Arabidopsis thaliana: one gene and its partner. The protein of the gene in region 1 interacts with the protein of each later gene in a pairwise test. Each region holds a gene or a part of one and is shown on either strand. Other genes may lie near its edges.

Evidence for each region. Proteins that work in one complex are often made in the same cells at the same time.
Region 2: the proteins of AT1G32360 (region 1) and AT2G04080 interact in a protein complementation assay, tested with the Arabidopsis thaliana proteins (one large-scale study listed by BioGRID).

What each region holds. Positions count from the first base shown.
Region 1 is NC_003070.9:11,669,438-11,677,909, reverse strand, and holds AT1G32360 (Zinc finger (CCCH-type) family protein), read right to left. Parts: upstream 5,145-8,472; 5' UTR 4,586-5,144; coding exon 3,721-4,585; intron 3,038-3,720; coding exon 2,748-3,037; 3' UTR 2,523-2,747; downstream 1-2,522. Other genes in the region: TOM2B (tobamovirus multiplication 2B), read right to left, coding at 1-77, 259-323, 406-471, 765-905; ATL1F (RING/U-box superfamily protein), read right to left, coding at 1,381-2,379.
Region 2 is NC_003071.7:1,354,333-1,362,417, forward strand, and holds AT2G04080 (MATE efflux family protein), read right to left. Parts: upstream 5,072-8,085; 5' UTR 4,828-5,071; coding exon 4,582-4,827; intron 4,494-4,581; coding exon 3,949-4,493; intron 3,855-3,948; coding exon 3,768-3,854; intron 3,688-3,767; coding exon 3,631-3,687; intron 3,555-3,630; coding exon 3,110-3,554; coding exon of another isoform or gene 3,080-3,109; exon of another isoform or gene 3,046-3,079; coding exon 2,995-3,045; 3' UTR 2,824-2,994; downstream 1-2,823. Other genes in the region: AT2G04070 (MATE efflux family protein), read right to left, coding at 1-181, 258-314, 403-489, 581-1,125, 1,213-1,458.

The DNA.
Region 1 (8,472 bases):
TAGATTGTCGAAGAGCACGAAGCTGTGTGCTTTCCATGTTTTCAAGTAACTGGGTTACTGTGTTTAGATGAACACCGCTGTATCGAGAAAACGAAACTTAGGGTTAGAGAACACAACAGCTACAAACATTCTTCATCATCAAAGGGAGTAGTATTCTCTTATCACATTTCTCATTCATTGTTCTTAAAGCTATCTATTAAAATTCAACTCTAAGTGATACAAGATTTGATGATGAGTGCATGTCAAAGAAGATCAAACCTGTGCAATCCGCTTTCTATATGAGCATCTAGAGATGAAATCACTTGAGGAAGCTGCGCCAACGCCTTAACAAAATGTAAAAAAAAATGCTTAAGACACACAGTACTTACTTATGTCATCATACATTCTACACCATAACATACATACCTGTCCAGTGGCCTTAGTCAGTGAAGCTTTCGCCAACAGATTCTTCGGGAGCTTTGCCAACTGAGCCTACACACAGCGAATACTCATAATTAGAGATTAAAAAAAAAACATCTAAAGCTCATCCTAATAACCTCACATTGTGTTTCATTGTGGTCTTATTACATGAAACAGGAGGAGATAACTAGTTTCCAATGAAATAGGACAACTACGAAACTGTTGCACCTATGTTTGAAACAATTCACCAAATCCACATTTTCTATCATCAGAATCAAACCAAACCCTAATTATTCAACCTAGATCCTATTTAATCCAACGGTGACTAAATGAGCACGCGTTAAAAGGGTTTGAAGAAGATATACCTGAGAAGAAGACGATTGACGCATCAGATGAAGAAGGTTAGCAGTGGAATTTACGGCTTGTGAAATCTGATCGGCGACGACAGCTTTCGCCGTTCGATCACCGCCGCTGATTCCTCTTGAATTTTCCGATGCCGTCGCCATTTCTCTCTCCAAGTTTGGTTGGTTCTCTTTTTTTAACAAATGGTAAAATATAGGTCTTACATTGTAATATTATAAACTCTTAGTCGTTCCCCTATTCTATTGATTTATATCACGTTATTCCCAATATTTCTATTTCTATCAAATTGACACCTCCCATATCAAACCGGAACGATAAAATGCAACTTAATTTTTTATGTTATATATATAAGACATATATTTAAAAATATTTTTAGAATTTTATGAAGTCCACAAATGAAAAAAGGAAAGTATGATTGGTACTGAATAATGAGAATTTAAGTACAAACATTACAACAATCTTCAACATCTTCTATATGTATAACTATAACCTATAGTGTCAAAAAATTACAAAAATGGAACGGCCGAAACAAAGAATATATCAAAACCTAGAATCTAATTCCGGTCTTGGATCTATTATAGATGATATATCAACCAAGACAATTCACATTCTCAGGCTCTATCCTACAGAGTAAGTTCCCCTAACGCAATACAACTTTCTGTTTGGTAAAGTCATCTTGTGATCTTCAAACTGACATTCTCCAGAGATCTCAATACGTATCTTAATCTCATCTTTTTCTTCTTCTTCTTCTTCTTCTTGTTCGTTTTCGGTCTTAACTACTATAGAGTGTCCAGTAGAATGTGACCTCCAAAACCGCAAATTCGATGCTTTCATTCGTCTTTCATAGCTTTCGATTTCATCTGTATGCTCTAAACTACCAATAGTAGTACTAGGATGCTCCTCGTGAACGATGATTGTCACTGTGTCACGGGGCAAAGGCTCGTCGTGGATTTCAGATCTAACTAGATCGATTTCAGGAACTTCTAGCGGCTTTTCTAGCGATGTCCGGTCTTCTACATCAAGCTCACGCCTGCATACAGGGCAAGTCTTGTGTCCTTCAAACCAAAGATCAATGCAAATCGTGTGGAAGGAGTGATTACAAGTAGAAATGAGCCTAATAGTGTCATCATCCATAAACTCTGTTAAACAAATGGAACATTGATCCGTCCCATGATCTTTCACCGAATAAGGATACTCAGGGAATGATTCAATGATCTTGGAGTCGAGACCGAGGTTTTCAGGTGGATTAGACGGTTGGATTAGGTTACTAGGACGGTTTCGGTTTCGATGGTTATTCCAAATCCTCATGAGTTTCCTAAATAAACATCCACAGAAGAAGAAGGAGAAGAACCCCGTGAAAATGATGAAGAGAAGACTACCGGTCAAGACTATGGTGACCGGGGAGGAAACGAGGGTATGGACTGGTTTGAAATTGTCTGTCTCGGTCGTGGATATAGACATTTTGAGACCGTGCAGTGAAACGGCCGGATCAGAAATATTGTGACTGGTTTCATAGGTAGCTTGAGGAAGAAGAAAGGGTTTATTCTGAGGTTGCCGTGTGGGAAGGGTAATGTCAATGGGGAAGAGAGAAATGAGGAGAAAGGTAAGGTCATACATATGCCAAAGCTTTTAGAGTTTTGAGCGAGTCTTTGGTGACAAAAGCTACGTGTTATCTTCGTGGCCAATTAATTTGCTCTAATCTAATTCTACATTCTAGTTTTACGGTGATCGATCTTCTAGTTATGATTAAAAAAAATTGTGGCTTTATAATCAAATTATGAAATTTTTAAAAAATCAAATATGGAAAAGATACAAAAGAAAGATGATAATATAACATAAGTCATAATCTACAACAACAAACAACAACAACAACAGATACAAGGATTACACATATACAAACTCTACAAAATGTACCATGCAAAAAAAGGGAGATTGTAATTTTCTTAGCAGTTATCTAAATGTGTAGAAAAAAGAAAGAGGTAACATCATTCAATATCGTCGATCCAATCACCGTATATCCGACTGATTTTCGCCGGTCCTTTCCACTTCTGATGAGTTCTAATTCCAGGCTTTTGTGTAACCGCACTAGACGCTCGTTGCAATGCAACTCCAGTGTGGTAACTGGCATCTGCATTATGAGGTACTCCTGGAGATAGAAGTGTTGTTGTGTCTGATAGTCCTTTGGGGTTTTGTACTGTTTGCTTTGTGTCCGGATTGGGTGATACTCCATCTTTGCCTTCTTCTTCCACGAGTCCTCCGCCAAATCTATGTAACTCTGCAAATCATAAAGACTCAAAACTTTAAAGCTACACGACTACGGAACTTTCTAAGGTCATATCGTTCAACAATTCTAAGAAATTGTTTCCCATAAGAAACTATCAAAGATTCAACATTTTTCACAAATGTAAGACAGATTATCTATCAAAATTTTGAGAATTCGAGAAACCTATAACTCTATCCTAAGATTCAACAACTCGTCAGATTCATTACAATACCAGACCAAAAATGAATGTTTATCAGTACTCCTGCGGCGAGCTCAACTGATATAAGCACTCAATCCATTAGTTAGTCTCCTATATAACCTTTAGTACCATTCTCACTAGTCTAACCATGAAGCACCGTTGACTAAAACTTCTAACAAATAACCTAACAGACTAAATGGTAACCACAGACCAACAAAAACCCAAAGATAGCGGTGTCATAAGATACAGAACCCGACAGGGTCAGCGAATAAGCGAATAACCATTTTACTCAGCTTGGAGCTTCAGCGTCCAATCTCTAGTCACCTTTAACCCATTCATCAAGCAACATTGGTTTAAAGTTTAAACTAACATACGAGAAGTCACTAAAAACTTGGCTAACCACTAGAGACCTATGAACTCAATCCCGTCCTTATCTTCAGGCCTAACCATTCCATTCATAAAGCAAACGAAATCGAACAAAAGGCAGAATCTTTACCTGCAGCTCCATGAGCAAAATGACACTTAGCACCAAATGGACAATACCCAGTAATCTCCCATTTGTTGCAAATCCTTGTCTTCCAATTTGAAGGCTTCAAAATCTGAATCCCACTTCCACTTCCACTTCCACCACCACCACCAAGCACTACTACATTGCTACTACTACCACCACCACCAACAGAACCACCGCCACTTCCACCACCACCACCACTTCCATAACCACCAGGTCCTAAGCTAATAGCAACACTCTCTCTATTCCTCGAAGCCTCATCATGCAGAAACGTACAACTTTCTCCATAAGGACATCCTTCTTCAGTATAAAACTTCTTACAATGTCTTCCTTTAAAAGATCTCCCACTCTCAGCCGTCGATGACACCAAAGACGGGATCTGAAACTCCTCCCGTGGAATCTCAACCACAGAAACTGTAGGAGTTCCCATACCACCAGATCTCTCCTCCTCATGAGCCGCCACAATCTCCTGCCAATTCGGCGGTGGACGACGAAGCTCCTCCACCGTATGAGCAAAGTTACAATTCGTTATATACGGACAAGTCCCAGCACGAAACTTGCAACAAAGCTTCGTCTTGAAGAACATTTTCCCAATCGCTTTAGTACGATTGCTCGCAGCAGAAGTAGTCGTGGCTGATGAAGACGACGGAGAGCCTCGAGTCTTCTTGTTCGGTGGACCATTGTTGTCGCCGGAGGTGTTATCGGGATTCATAGCCCAAGCTCTATTGTAATCATCTTCCGTCGCCCAAACAGCACTATCGCCGAGATTCGGAAACCAATTATCCGGCGGAGGATTGTTTGTGGGAATCACGTGAACTACATCTCCGCCGGAATCTCGCCGGTGATGACTCATCGTGTGAAAAATCGAAGCTTTTCCTCAAACCCTAATTTTTTCTTTCTTTCTCCAATTTCGATTTTGTGAATTTTTACCAAGAATCACGGAAAAGCTGAGAGATTTCGTGAATTCGAGAGATGGGTGATCTTGAAAACAATCAAATTCATCGATTAACGACAAATTTTGTGAAACCCAAGAAAAAAAGTTTTAAAAATTGAAAACGATAACTGAAAAATGAATATGAACAAAAACACAGATGATGATGATGATGATGATGAAGAATGTATACAAATGTAGTATTAGTCACTGAGAAATCGTCGTTGAGATTGAAAGATCATGTTCGGGAGAAAAAAAATCGAACAAGAATATTCTTTCTAAGCTTGAAAGTGAGAAATAAAAAGGAGGAAACGTGTGTGGAGATAGGATAAGATCTTTATTAAGACAATAATTTATTTGAAACTCAGCAGCAGACATGTAACTAAATTTGGTAATAATAATCTTTGTAAGAAAGTGAATATGAAAGACACTGTAATAAAAAGATTTGAGAATTTTGGAATCAGAAAGCTTTAAATTTTCTTACAGTGTATTAAATGATCACTCGGCATCTATATGATGAAATGAGTGTTGCTCATTAATAGATATGGTCATATGGATGTGATTTTTTTTTCCTTGAAAAATTTTCCAAGCCTCCAAACATTTATTTCGTATATACAAAACAATACACACCTAACACAGTAACACACATGCACCATACTATGATAATACTACTACAACTCTACAAGAAGTAAAAAATGGTAAACCTTTTTTCAAAAAGATAAAATGGTAAAGTTAATTGTTGTATTATTAAAAAAAACTCAAAGAAACTCTAGTAATTACTACTACTGTTGGAGTGAATTATGTTTTTGACTCAAAAATAGAAAAGAATTATTGAAGTTATTATATAGGTGACCAAAGGTTTTTAAGTTAGTAAAAAGTTGTAACTTTGGCGCCCGGCTCTTGTAGCGCACTGGTCTGCGATGGTACATTAATGTGCAACGTGTGATTAGTTCGAAGCTCGAGCTGGGCGAAAAGAGAAAAGAGAGAGCCAGTGAAAGCATAGCAGCAGCAGAGGTCTTGTTGTTATATAAAGATAAACATTTAAGGTATTTTTAAATATCTTTTTATGAATTTTTTTTAGTAGCTATCATCATGCTTTCAAGTAAATTTTATGAATTTTTTTTTGGTTTTAAGAAACCTGCTAACATTATTTTAGCAGACAACCTAAGAAATCTAGAATTTAGAACATTTTTCTTTTAAAATTTTCACGAAAATATACAATATTTGTGTTTATATACTTTTATTTTTATTTTTTAACACCATAATCATATAAAAATTAACTAGCGATAATACTTGTTTTCTTCATTATATACTTCTTAGTTTAGCATCAAATTTCATTTCGACAGTATTATTTATTGTTTCATTTTGAGTAAATATAAATTTTCAGTCTGTATTCTTGATCATACTCCATGCATAATGATATTATCTGTTGATCATTCACTTATTTACTCTATGAACATTTAGCTAATTTTGGTTTATTTGAAGCCAACTAATCCCCTTTTTTTTCCTTGGCAAAACGCCAAAAAATGTTTTATTCTATAACTAAGTTTGCTGGATTTGACGAATCAACTTTAAATTAGCTATGTGCTGCAGAGACAGCGCCAAGCTCTTGTAGCTCTCCTGGCCAGCGAAGGCACATTAATGTGCAACGCTTGGTAGGTTCGATGCTCGAGCAAGGCATGGAAGAGACAGAGAGAGAAGTTGATCATGATCATTTCACATGTGAGATATTCTAAAATATCTTTTTCTTTTCTTTTCTTTTTTTTGTGTAGATGGAGAAAAATACTAAACGTGTGGACATTGGATAAGATCTTTAATTCTTTATTAGGAAAACAATTTTGTAGCTGAGAAGCAGACAATAATAACTAAAATTGGTAATATATCTTTAACAAAAACAAAGTAATAAAATAAAGAAGATAGTTTATAAACATTACATATAAAGAAAGGAGATAGTTTATAGATTCGTCATTGGAGAATTGAAATCTTAAAACTTCTAAATTTTTAAATGCATTCAATTCAATGGATATGGATAGGATTTAATATTGCTTTTCTTGTCACTTTTCCTAAATTCCTTGACAAAAATGTTCAGATTCATCTAATTTAGCAATTGAGGCACCTGGCTTTTGTAGCCCGTTGGTCTACGATTGCACATTAGTGCGCAACGTGATGACGAAGCTTGATCAAAGCAGATAGAGAACAAGGTAACAACAGAGAATATTATGTGTTCTAAGAGCAACCTTAATGGTTAGATCCAAAATTTGGGACTTAAGTATAACGTTTTTTTTTAATGCTTTGTGTTATAACTTATAACGATGAACATTAGATTTATTCCTAAGTATCTTTTGTTCTCAGCATCATTAAATATAATCATATGTTATGTACTTATGTTAAACGTTTCTTTCCAGTACACTAGTTTATTATACATATAAATTGTCTTTATTCAGATATATGTTACTTTATCTTGTATTGTTAGTTTAGTGTTAAAAGATGAGATTGTGGTGCCTAACTCTTGTAGCTCTATCGGTCAGCGAAGGCACATGTTAGTGCAACGCTTGATCGGTTCGAGAGTCGAGAACGGCATTAAAGACAGAGAGATAGAACAAGCAAAAACAAAGAAAATGTATGTGAACAAAAACCATATGAGATATTCTAAAATATCTCCTTTTTTTGGTATTTTATATAAACAACTTCGTAATATGAACAGTTAACAATTCAAAAACTAGACATGGACTTTTTACTTTTTGTGGTTCACAAATATTTACCACTGATTAAAAATTAAAAACCACATACTCAACGTTCAAGATCTCTGGATTCTTCGGGATGATTTCAAATTAACATTAAAAATTGAAATATTAACGTAATACGAATACAAGGACTTTACTTCTTAGGTGCTAGTATATGGACATCGCCAAATATTTGTATTTGCTCAATTAACGTAATCTACTAGTGCGATTTATGAGTCACTTATCTTTACAAAAATATTAAAGAAATAGATGAACAAATCTATATATACATTTTTACAGCTATTTTAGCAAATAAATCATGAACTTGGACTTATTTACAATCTAATGTCATTAGCATTAAATCTTTTTTTAAAAATAATTAATTTTATTTTAAATTTTTGATTTAAATTGTCAATCACATTATCAATCAAATTTAATCCCACCAAACTTCAAATCAATCCTTTAAAATTAGCATAAACATATTTGCTAACAATATTTTAAAACAAATTTTTTTGTTAAATAAATATTATTTTTACTGAACGTTTTTTGTTTAAATAAATAAATTTTGTATTTGAACTTATTTAATATGTCATGTCACTGACATTAATTATTTATTAATGAAAATATTTAATTAAAGATTTAAATCTTCTAAATCCTTGCTTTTAGAGTTATTATGTCATTACCTTATAAGCAAAAATATTAATTTTTTTAAATATTATTATTTATATATTTAAAATTTATAAAACATTATTAATATTTAAACTTATAAAAAGTTCGATATATTACAATTTTTTAACATCATTATATAATATATAGAATTTTAAAAAAATCTTAATTTTTTCCGTCATATTTTATAATTCAAAATTTTAAAAATAAACATATATTAACAAATTAGCAAAAAATGTGTGGGTTCAACGTCCCGCATCGACAAAAATATTTAGACAATGATTTATAAACATATCATAAATAAGATCAACATTAATATAAATAAATAGTTTTTTTACGGGACGGGTTTGGCGGGACGGGTTTGGCAGGACGTTACTTAATAACAATTGTAAACTATAAAATAAAAATATATTATATATA
Region 2 (8,085 bases), on another chromosome or scaffold:
ATCAGCCACATAGTCCACAACTTCTTTACTGTTGCTGAATGCGTAGCCTATGATGTTCCTGAAGGCGAAGAGAAGTATGCTAAAGAAAGATGACTCTACAAGCCAGAGACAAAGCCCTGCCAATACTGAAACCCTAGCAACTTGAGGAATCCCAGCTCCCAATTTGTTTGACACGCGTGTGCTGCAAGAAACCAAATGACTTATATTGTTTAGGAAGAAGATGTTGAATATGGTTGGTTAAAAATTAGAGTTCATACCTCACAGCGGCCGCGACTCCAACTGGAATCACATAGTGCAAAGTTGCTGTTGTAAGACTTGCATGAAAGAAATAGGATTCGTTAGCTTTTTTAGTATAGATCGCACTAGTAAAGATAAAAAGAAGTCCTTCTATATGAAACTTACCAAATTGAAAGAACAGAGGTCTCGAGTTTTGGGTTTTGGAGAAGACCTGAACAGAGTATAAGTAGCTCAAATAGCCACCATTCTAGGCTGTAAAAGGCAGACCGAGAAAATGCAAGTGAGATAAGAAGAAGCATTGGCGTATGTAACTTGACCAACAAGAAACTTTTAATAGACTTACCAAAGCATTGCCGCTGATGGGACTCCATAACGGAAGAACTGCTTGACAGAAGACAAGAAATCTTGGGATACAAATCGGCGAGTCTTCTCGCAAGAGCTGGAGAATCTCACATAACATGAGAGTGTCATAGCGAAAAACCAGAAAGACACACTAATAGCCAAGGCAGCTCCATTGCTTCCCAAACCAAGTGCGGAAACCAAAGTCCAGCAAACCGCAATGTGGAACAAAAGGGTGGTCAGGGCAAAGTAAAGCAGTGGAAGAACCAACCCTTGTGCTAGCAGAAACCGGGTCAGTGGTAAGACAATCGCATGGGCAAACAAAGTCGGTATGAGCCGCAAGGCGTAGGAGCCAGCGACTCTGGAGATGTCAGGGTCTTGTCCGAGAGAGATCAAGAGTTTTTCCATGTATATCCAGAGAATTGATATGAGGACACATATAGGGATGTTAGAGGAAATTGCGGAGTATGTATAGGTTCCCATTTTTTCGTATTGTTTGGCTCCATAAGCTTGGCCAGAAAGAGTTTCTAGTGAACCCACTAACCCAAACTGCACAAAGAATTGAAGTATTTATCAAGATTTCAGAGTCAACTTGATTTTGAACATAAGAGGAGAGAGTAGTCATAACATAATTACCATAATGCTGAAACCGGAGACATTTGTGAAGGAGGTAGCAAGAGCGACACCGGAGAGCTGGAGCTCGCCGTTGTGGCCAGCGACCATGACTGAGATGACTGGCAATAAGTACTGTGCAATGGTCACGGTGGCCATAGGAACAGCCAAGCGGCTCACTTTCTTCAGCTCGACATTGAGCTGACCACTTTTCCATGTGGCTTTACAGGGGACTATCTGCTCATCTTGCGGAAGAAATGGCTCTTCCATTGTTTTAGGTTGTTAATTTTTTTTTTGTCCTTATTTTTTGTTTGTTATTGTTTTGTGTTGAAAGCCTTGTCTAGTACTTTAATTGTCTATAATTTATGCGGACATTCTTCCATCTTTTATAGACACTAGACAGACGACGAAACCAATGTCAATGTCAACGTAGACTTTTCTTTTTTGGAAATTGTGGGAATAGAATATTCAAATTACATGACTCTTAGCTCGACCAGTGGAATTCTATATTTTCCACGAAGATCCTCAAAAAGTATATTATAAAAGTCTACATGATAAAGTATAAAGTATTACTAAAGTTTATACATCAAAGTTTTCAGCAATGACGTTGTATAGTTTCTCTTAATAAGTTTCCGGAAAACAATAGTTTTTTTTAAGGTGAACATACATCATGTTTTTTATTGTTAAAGGAACATACATCATGTTTTTTGCAAATGACAAAATCTTCTAACAACTTCACAAGTTATAACAGTTTTATAAAACTGTTATAAAAGTCATGTATATTAAACTTTTTATTACTTCCATAAAAGTCAGATATCACAATAACCTAATAACAAAGACAAACAAAAGAGACAATTCGGTCATTTTGAAATACAAATGGTGGACGTCGTCGTCAACACTCAACAGTCGTCCAATATCAGCATTTTGGAAATACATGATAATACACTTGGGGATCACGTTCCAATGATCTATGACTAAACAACAAAGGCAACTCGAATAATTACTTGGGAATCAAGTTCTAATCATATCATAGATTAAACAAAAGATAATGACATTGTTACAAAAAAAAAAGAGACAGTTTGTTTTAACAGTTTATATTAAAAAGGAAAAATGTCTTAATTAACAAAAACATTTTTTTGGTTTAAATAACAACTAGACAGTTCAAACGTGCAGCTGAGGCTGATAAAAAGGTAGGAATTCGTATTAAGTTTTCACCACTAAACCTACTAATTAAATGACATAACATTAGTGGACTATGTGGAATTTGAATCTTCTATAAGTATTTTTCATCTATATATTTTTAATGATTTACGTCAAGAAACATGTATGTGAAAACTCTTATGGATCATTAGTGTAAAGTTATTATGTTTGGACCATATATAAGAGAGATTATTTTCTTTTGTGAATTTTAAAGTTAATACTAAGTGTTAAATCTGGTTGTGCCATACAGGCCATTTTTAGTGGACTTATTGGGATAATGGATAGGACTCACATAGTTGTTTTTTATAAAGATAGGACTGATTGCAGCTGAGGCCATTTTTAATCCCATGGTGTTTGGAACTAATGAGTTTTTATTTACTTGTTACATTTGTATATTAAAGTTTGAAGAAAATAAATAAATCATCTTTCAGCATGTGCAATTCGAATAATTTTTCTAACTAACGAAAATATCAACTCAAGAAAAAATGTATAAATCCTGGATAAAAGTTTTACAAAAAAATATTATAACCCATCAAAATAACATTACATGTTTTTTTGCACATGACTTGCAAATACTTTGAGATAGCTCTTAGGAACAACCTTTATTTAAACCAATCCATTTTCAGTAGAGATTATTCTCTTCCTTGCTTTCTCAGCCTGCAAATAATAGAGTCCAGTTACTTCAGAGCATTCAAAAAACTAGAATGTAACAAACTCTAACCTGTTCCTTCCAGTTCATGGAGGCTGTGACGATAGCCAGTAAAGTGGCTTGCACCGCGGATCCAACCATAACACCGCACCAGAGTCCTTTTCCATTCCACTCACGACTGAAAGCTAAGTAAACTCCAACAGGAGCTCCTACAAGATAATAAGCCACCACGTTGATCAAAGCTCCAATGTGTTGCCACCCACATCCCCTAGCCACTCCATTTAGAACTGCCGTTAATCCGTCGAGGATGAAGGAGAGACAGAGCAAAGGAGATATGTCAGCAACATAGTCAACAACTTCTTTGCTGTTGCTGAATGTGTAGCCTATGATGTTTCGGCAGGTGAAGAGAAGTGTGCTAAAGAAAGCTGACTCTACAAGCCAGAGACAAAGCCCTGCCAATACGGAAACCCTAGCAACTTGAGGATTTCCAGCTCCCAATTTGTTTGACACTCGTGTGCTTCAAGAAACCAAATGACTAATGTTGAGAAAGGAATTGTTGAACACTTGTTCTGGTTTGAGAGTTGAGATCATACCTCACAGCCGCCGCGACTCCAGATGGAATCACATAGTGTAAAGTTCCTATTGTAAGACTGATAACATGAAAGACATAAGATTAATACATTTTGGTAAAGAGAACACATAGGATAAAAAGAAGTAATATGATACTTACCAAATCGAAAGAACAGATGTCTCGAGTTTTGGGTTTGGGAGAAGACCTGAGCAGAGTATGAGTAGCTCAAACAGCCACCATTCTAAGCTATCAAAGAAGACAAAAAAATGCAAGCAAGATAAGAGGAAGCATCGGTGTATTGTAACTTAACCAACAAGACACGTGAAAATGGTTTACTTACCAAATCAATCCAGCGGATGGGACTCCGTACTGGAAGTACTGCTTGATACTAGACATAAAATCATTTGATACAAATCCGCGAGTCTTCTCGCAAGAGCTGAAAAATCTCACATGACATGAGAGTATCACAGCGTAAAACCAGAAAGACAAACTAATAGCAATAGCAGCTCCATTGCTTCCAAGACCAAGCGCGAAAACCAAAGTCCAGCAAACCGCAATATGGAACAAAAGGGTGGTCATGGCAGAGTATAGCAGGGAAATAACCAACCCTTGTGCTAGCAGAAACCGAGTCAGTGGTAAGAAAATAGCATGGGCAAACAAAGCCGGTACGAGCCACAATGAGTAGGAGCCAGCGACTCTAGAGATGTCAGGCTCTTGCCCGAGAGTGATCAAGAGCTTTTCGATGTAAATCCATAGAATTGATATGATGAAACAAATTGGTATGTTGGAAGCCATTGCAGAGTATGTATAGGTTCCGATTTTTTCGTATTGTTCTGCTCCATAGGCTTGGCCACAAAGAGTTTCCAATGCACCAACTAACCCAAACTACACAAAAAAGAATGCAGCAATATTTCAATATTGGAAAGTTAATTGAGTTCTTGAAATGAAGAGGAGAGAGTAATAGCATAATTACCATTATGCTGAAGCCGGAAACGTTTGTGAAAGACGTGGCAAGCGCGACACCGGCGAGCTCCAACTCGCCGATGTGGCCGGCGACCATGACTGAGATGACAGGCAATAAGTACTGAGCTATGGTTACGGTGGCCATAGGAGCGGCCAAGCGGCTCACTTTCTTCAGCTCGACGGTGACCTGACCACTTTGCCATGTGGATTTACAAGAGACTAACTGCTCGTCTCTCGGAAGAAATGGCTCTTCCATTGTCGTCTTCTTAATCTTGATTGATTTGCCTCTGATTTTTTAGATCATATCCAATCTTGTACTGATGGACGAAACCAATGTAATTTATTGTCAATGAAGACTTTTCGTCAATATCTAAATATATATATAACTCTGCTCGACCAGTGAAAACATTTTTTTCTCATGTTAAGATATGCATATGAAAGTATTATTGTTACTACCAAATTTTAGACCCGTAATTGACTGTGGGACAAATAGTTTTCTCTCTTCAATGTGTGTCACAGAAAAAAATGTTATTCTATTTATTAAGGTAAAAACAGATATGATATGATGTACCCATAATAATAAATGCTCCATATAAATTATATTATTAAGAGGGTCCATATAAATTATATTTATTAAACACATATATCATGTGCATGAATTGGTTTCTGATTTTTGTAGACGTGGTGGCCTTGTTGTTTCGATTTTTCAAAAAGTTAATTATTGCCGACAATAGTGAATAGTTTTTTTTTCCTTGTTTGATATAATGTTATGAATATGATCCAATTCCGGTTTAATGTTGGTCTGATGACATTCGGTTTAACAGCAGATTGGAGTTGGTTATTGAAACGGTTCGCTTTGGTTTACAGAAGAAGGAAGTTATGATTGGAAGACTCTCATTCTGAAAGAGGCTTCGATGCTCGAAGTCAAACACATATAAATAGAAGTCTGTTATCTTCTTCTTCTTCATTCCGTTAGAAAGTTGTTACGATCTCTCTTAAACCCAGAAAATTAGGGTTCTTCATTGATCTTGTATTGAGCTCAGAGAAGTTTGTAAACATCTCATATAGTGGATTGCCGGATCTATCTGGCTCCAGACGTAGATCTAATCACACAGATTAGATTGAACTGGGTAACAAATTCTTGTGTGTTGTTCTCTGTTTCTTCTTTGATTCACACAAACAAACTTCGAGTTGAGAGATTGAGAGCTGATAAGTGAGGTTCGCGTTCGTATTGGGATCGGTTCTATAACATTTAGCGAAATGAAATTGGAACACCTTGATTAGAAATAAAATTATAAGATTAAAATAAATTGTATTTTGGTATAAAATTTTGAAAAATCAAGTAAAACAAAAAATTAAATTTCTAAATACTTATTTCAGAAATATATCTACTAGATATTTTATTTGCTTTTTTGTACAAATATTCTTTCACATATATTTATTTTCAATTAATTAATAGATTCATTACTTTAGTTAATAATTTTTAATTATTTAAACTGTTCTTACATTTAATTGCCCTTTAATTTATAGGTAAATTTTTTTATTGGTTTCCTTCTCACTAAATGACTTCAAGTTCTTAGCCACTATATGAGATTTTATTTGTTGACTTACTCATTATTTGATTTCTTAGAAAACTTGAAAAAATATGAATCACACCATTTCTTTTCTATATGAAAAAATATAACCAGAATATGTATTTTTTTTTTTATAAAACTATTTCACATCTAGAAGTTTATTAAGAAAGTATTGAAAAATTATATAATTTAAGAAAATTATTTACTAAAATTTAAATATAGTATAGAACACATTGTCATTAAAATAAATTAAATAATAGAAACAAATAGATATGAGGTTCAATGTATAAATTTATGTTTGAAAAATTTATATTTTGCAGTATTACTTATCATGAAATAACCTCAAAAAATATATTTCAAAAACATACTATATTGTCTAATGTCTATTGTGTGAGTCAAATCTGCACATATAAACCGGCAAGCTTAATTAAGGGAAGTAGTGTCGCGGAAATAATTTTATTTATTAAGCTCAAGAACGAACTGATACAATTACAAAGAGATTGAACTAACTTTGATAACAAGTTAGTTTTTTTTTTCTTGTGAATTTGGATGTCTAGGGATCTTTAGAGACGAATTGTGGATGCCCCACTTTGCGACTGCTCATTTGTATTTATACTTCTCCATCTAGGTCTTCGAATATGTTTTCCTTCCAAAATTTTTATCTTCGGTATTTTTTTCTTTTCTCCTCCTCAATATTGATGATATTGAAAGTATTTTCGAGTCAATCTTTCCATTTTATGTTAAGTCAATCTCGATCTATCTATTTTCACACAAAAAAAACTCATTTTCACGCTAAATGTGCCGAGCCCGACAAAACATTTCGAAGGTTTTGTTTATTGAGGTTAGAGTCGAGTTAACTGAGTGGTGCTAAATCACTCCCCTACATCTATCATAATCTATCATAGAGGGTTAATCATGGACCATAGCTTCGTCTCACATACCAGAAATGTGATGACTTTGTTTTAATGAAATGGAACTCAAGACAGAATCTTCCAAACTTCTTTTCCAACAAGATAAATCGCCTCTAAACCAGTACAATATGTTTAAAAATATTGTTAAATTACAGTCTTAGTAGATTAAAAAAATGATTTTAATTCAACTTTATTGTATTGAAAAATGAAAACAATGTTGTTGAAGATAAATATTTAGCATTATTAAGACGAATCTAGATATGTACTCTAGAAACTTTTAGACGATTTGCTAGCATTATTCTCAACTATATATCCTGGTGTTCTCGAAAAGTTGGCAAGAATTCACAAGTAGAAACTGTTTACGAAGCTGATTAAGTGCATTAATTAGGTCAGCATTCTAAAAGTTAGGGTTATTCACATTTTTTCTTCTTCAATGGAATTCTGTTTCTCCATGAGATTGAACTTTTGTCTCCTTCACATGAATTCCACCAAGTCTTAGTAGTTTGAATTATTTACATTTGAACCACTCTTTTTATTTATTTTAAATCGTTGGTTAGTCACTCTCATTAAAAAGGAGAGACACATGAGTATGAGTTGATTGTTGACTTCCAGTTCTTTCTTGGTTCCTCAGTAGCACCATCTCTTCTCTTTTTATCTTTTTTTACTGGGATCAACATAAACAATTTACTATATATAAGTTATATTCTGTATATAGAGAAACACATTGTTGTATAAACAAAACTAATGTCCGTTCAAATCAGACCTTGTTAAAAGAACATTCAATCGCCCCGTAACTGTTAAATGAAAGAAAGTAAAATATCTTAGCCATATGAGAGTTCAGTTTATAAGATAAACTGTGGAAAATCCAATCAAACATAAATTAGTCACTCAAATTTTTACTTGATGTTAAACTTATACATAGATATTTAATCATTAGAAAGATAAAACGCATACAAGATTAAGTGTCATTTTTAAAAAAAAAATTTATTTTAAAATATATATTGTTTTATATTTTCAATGCAATTGTTT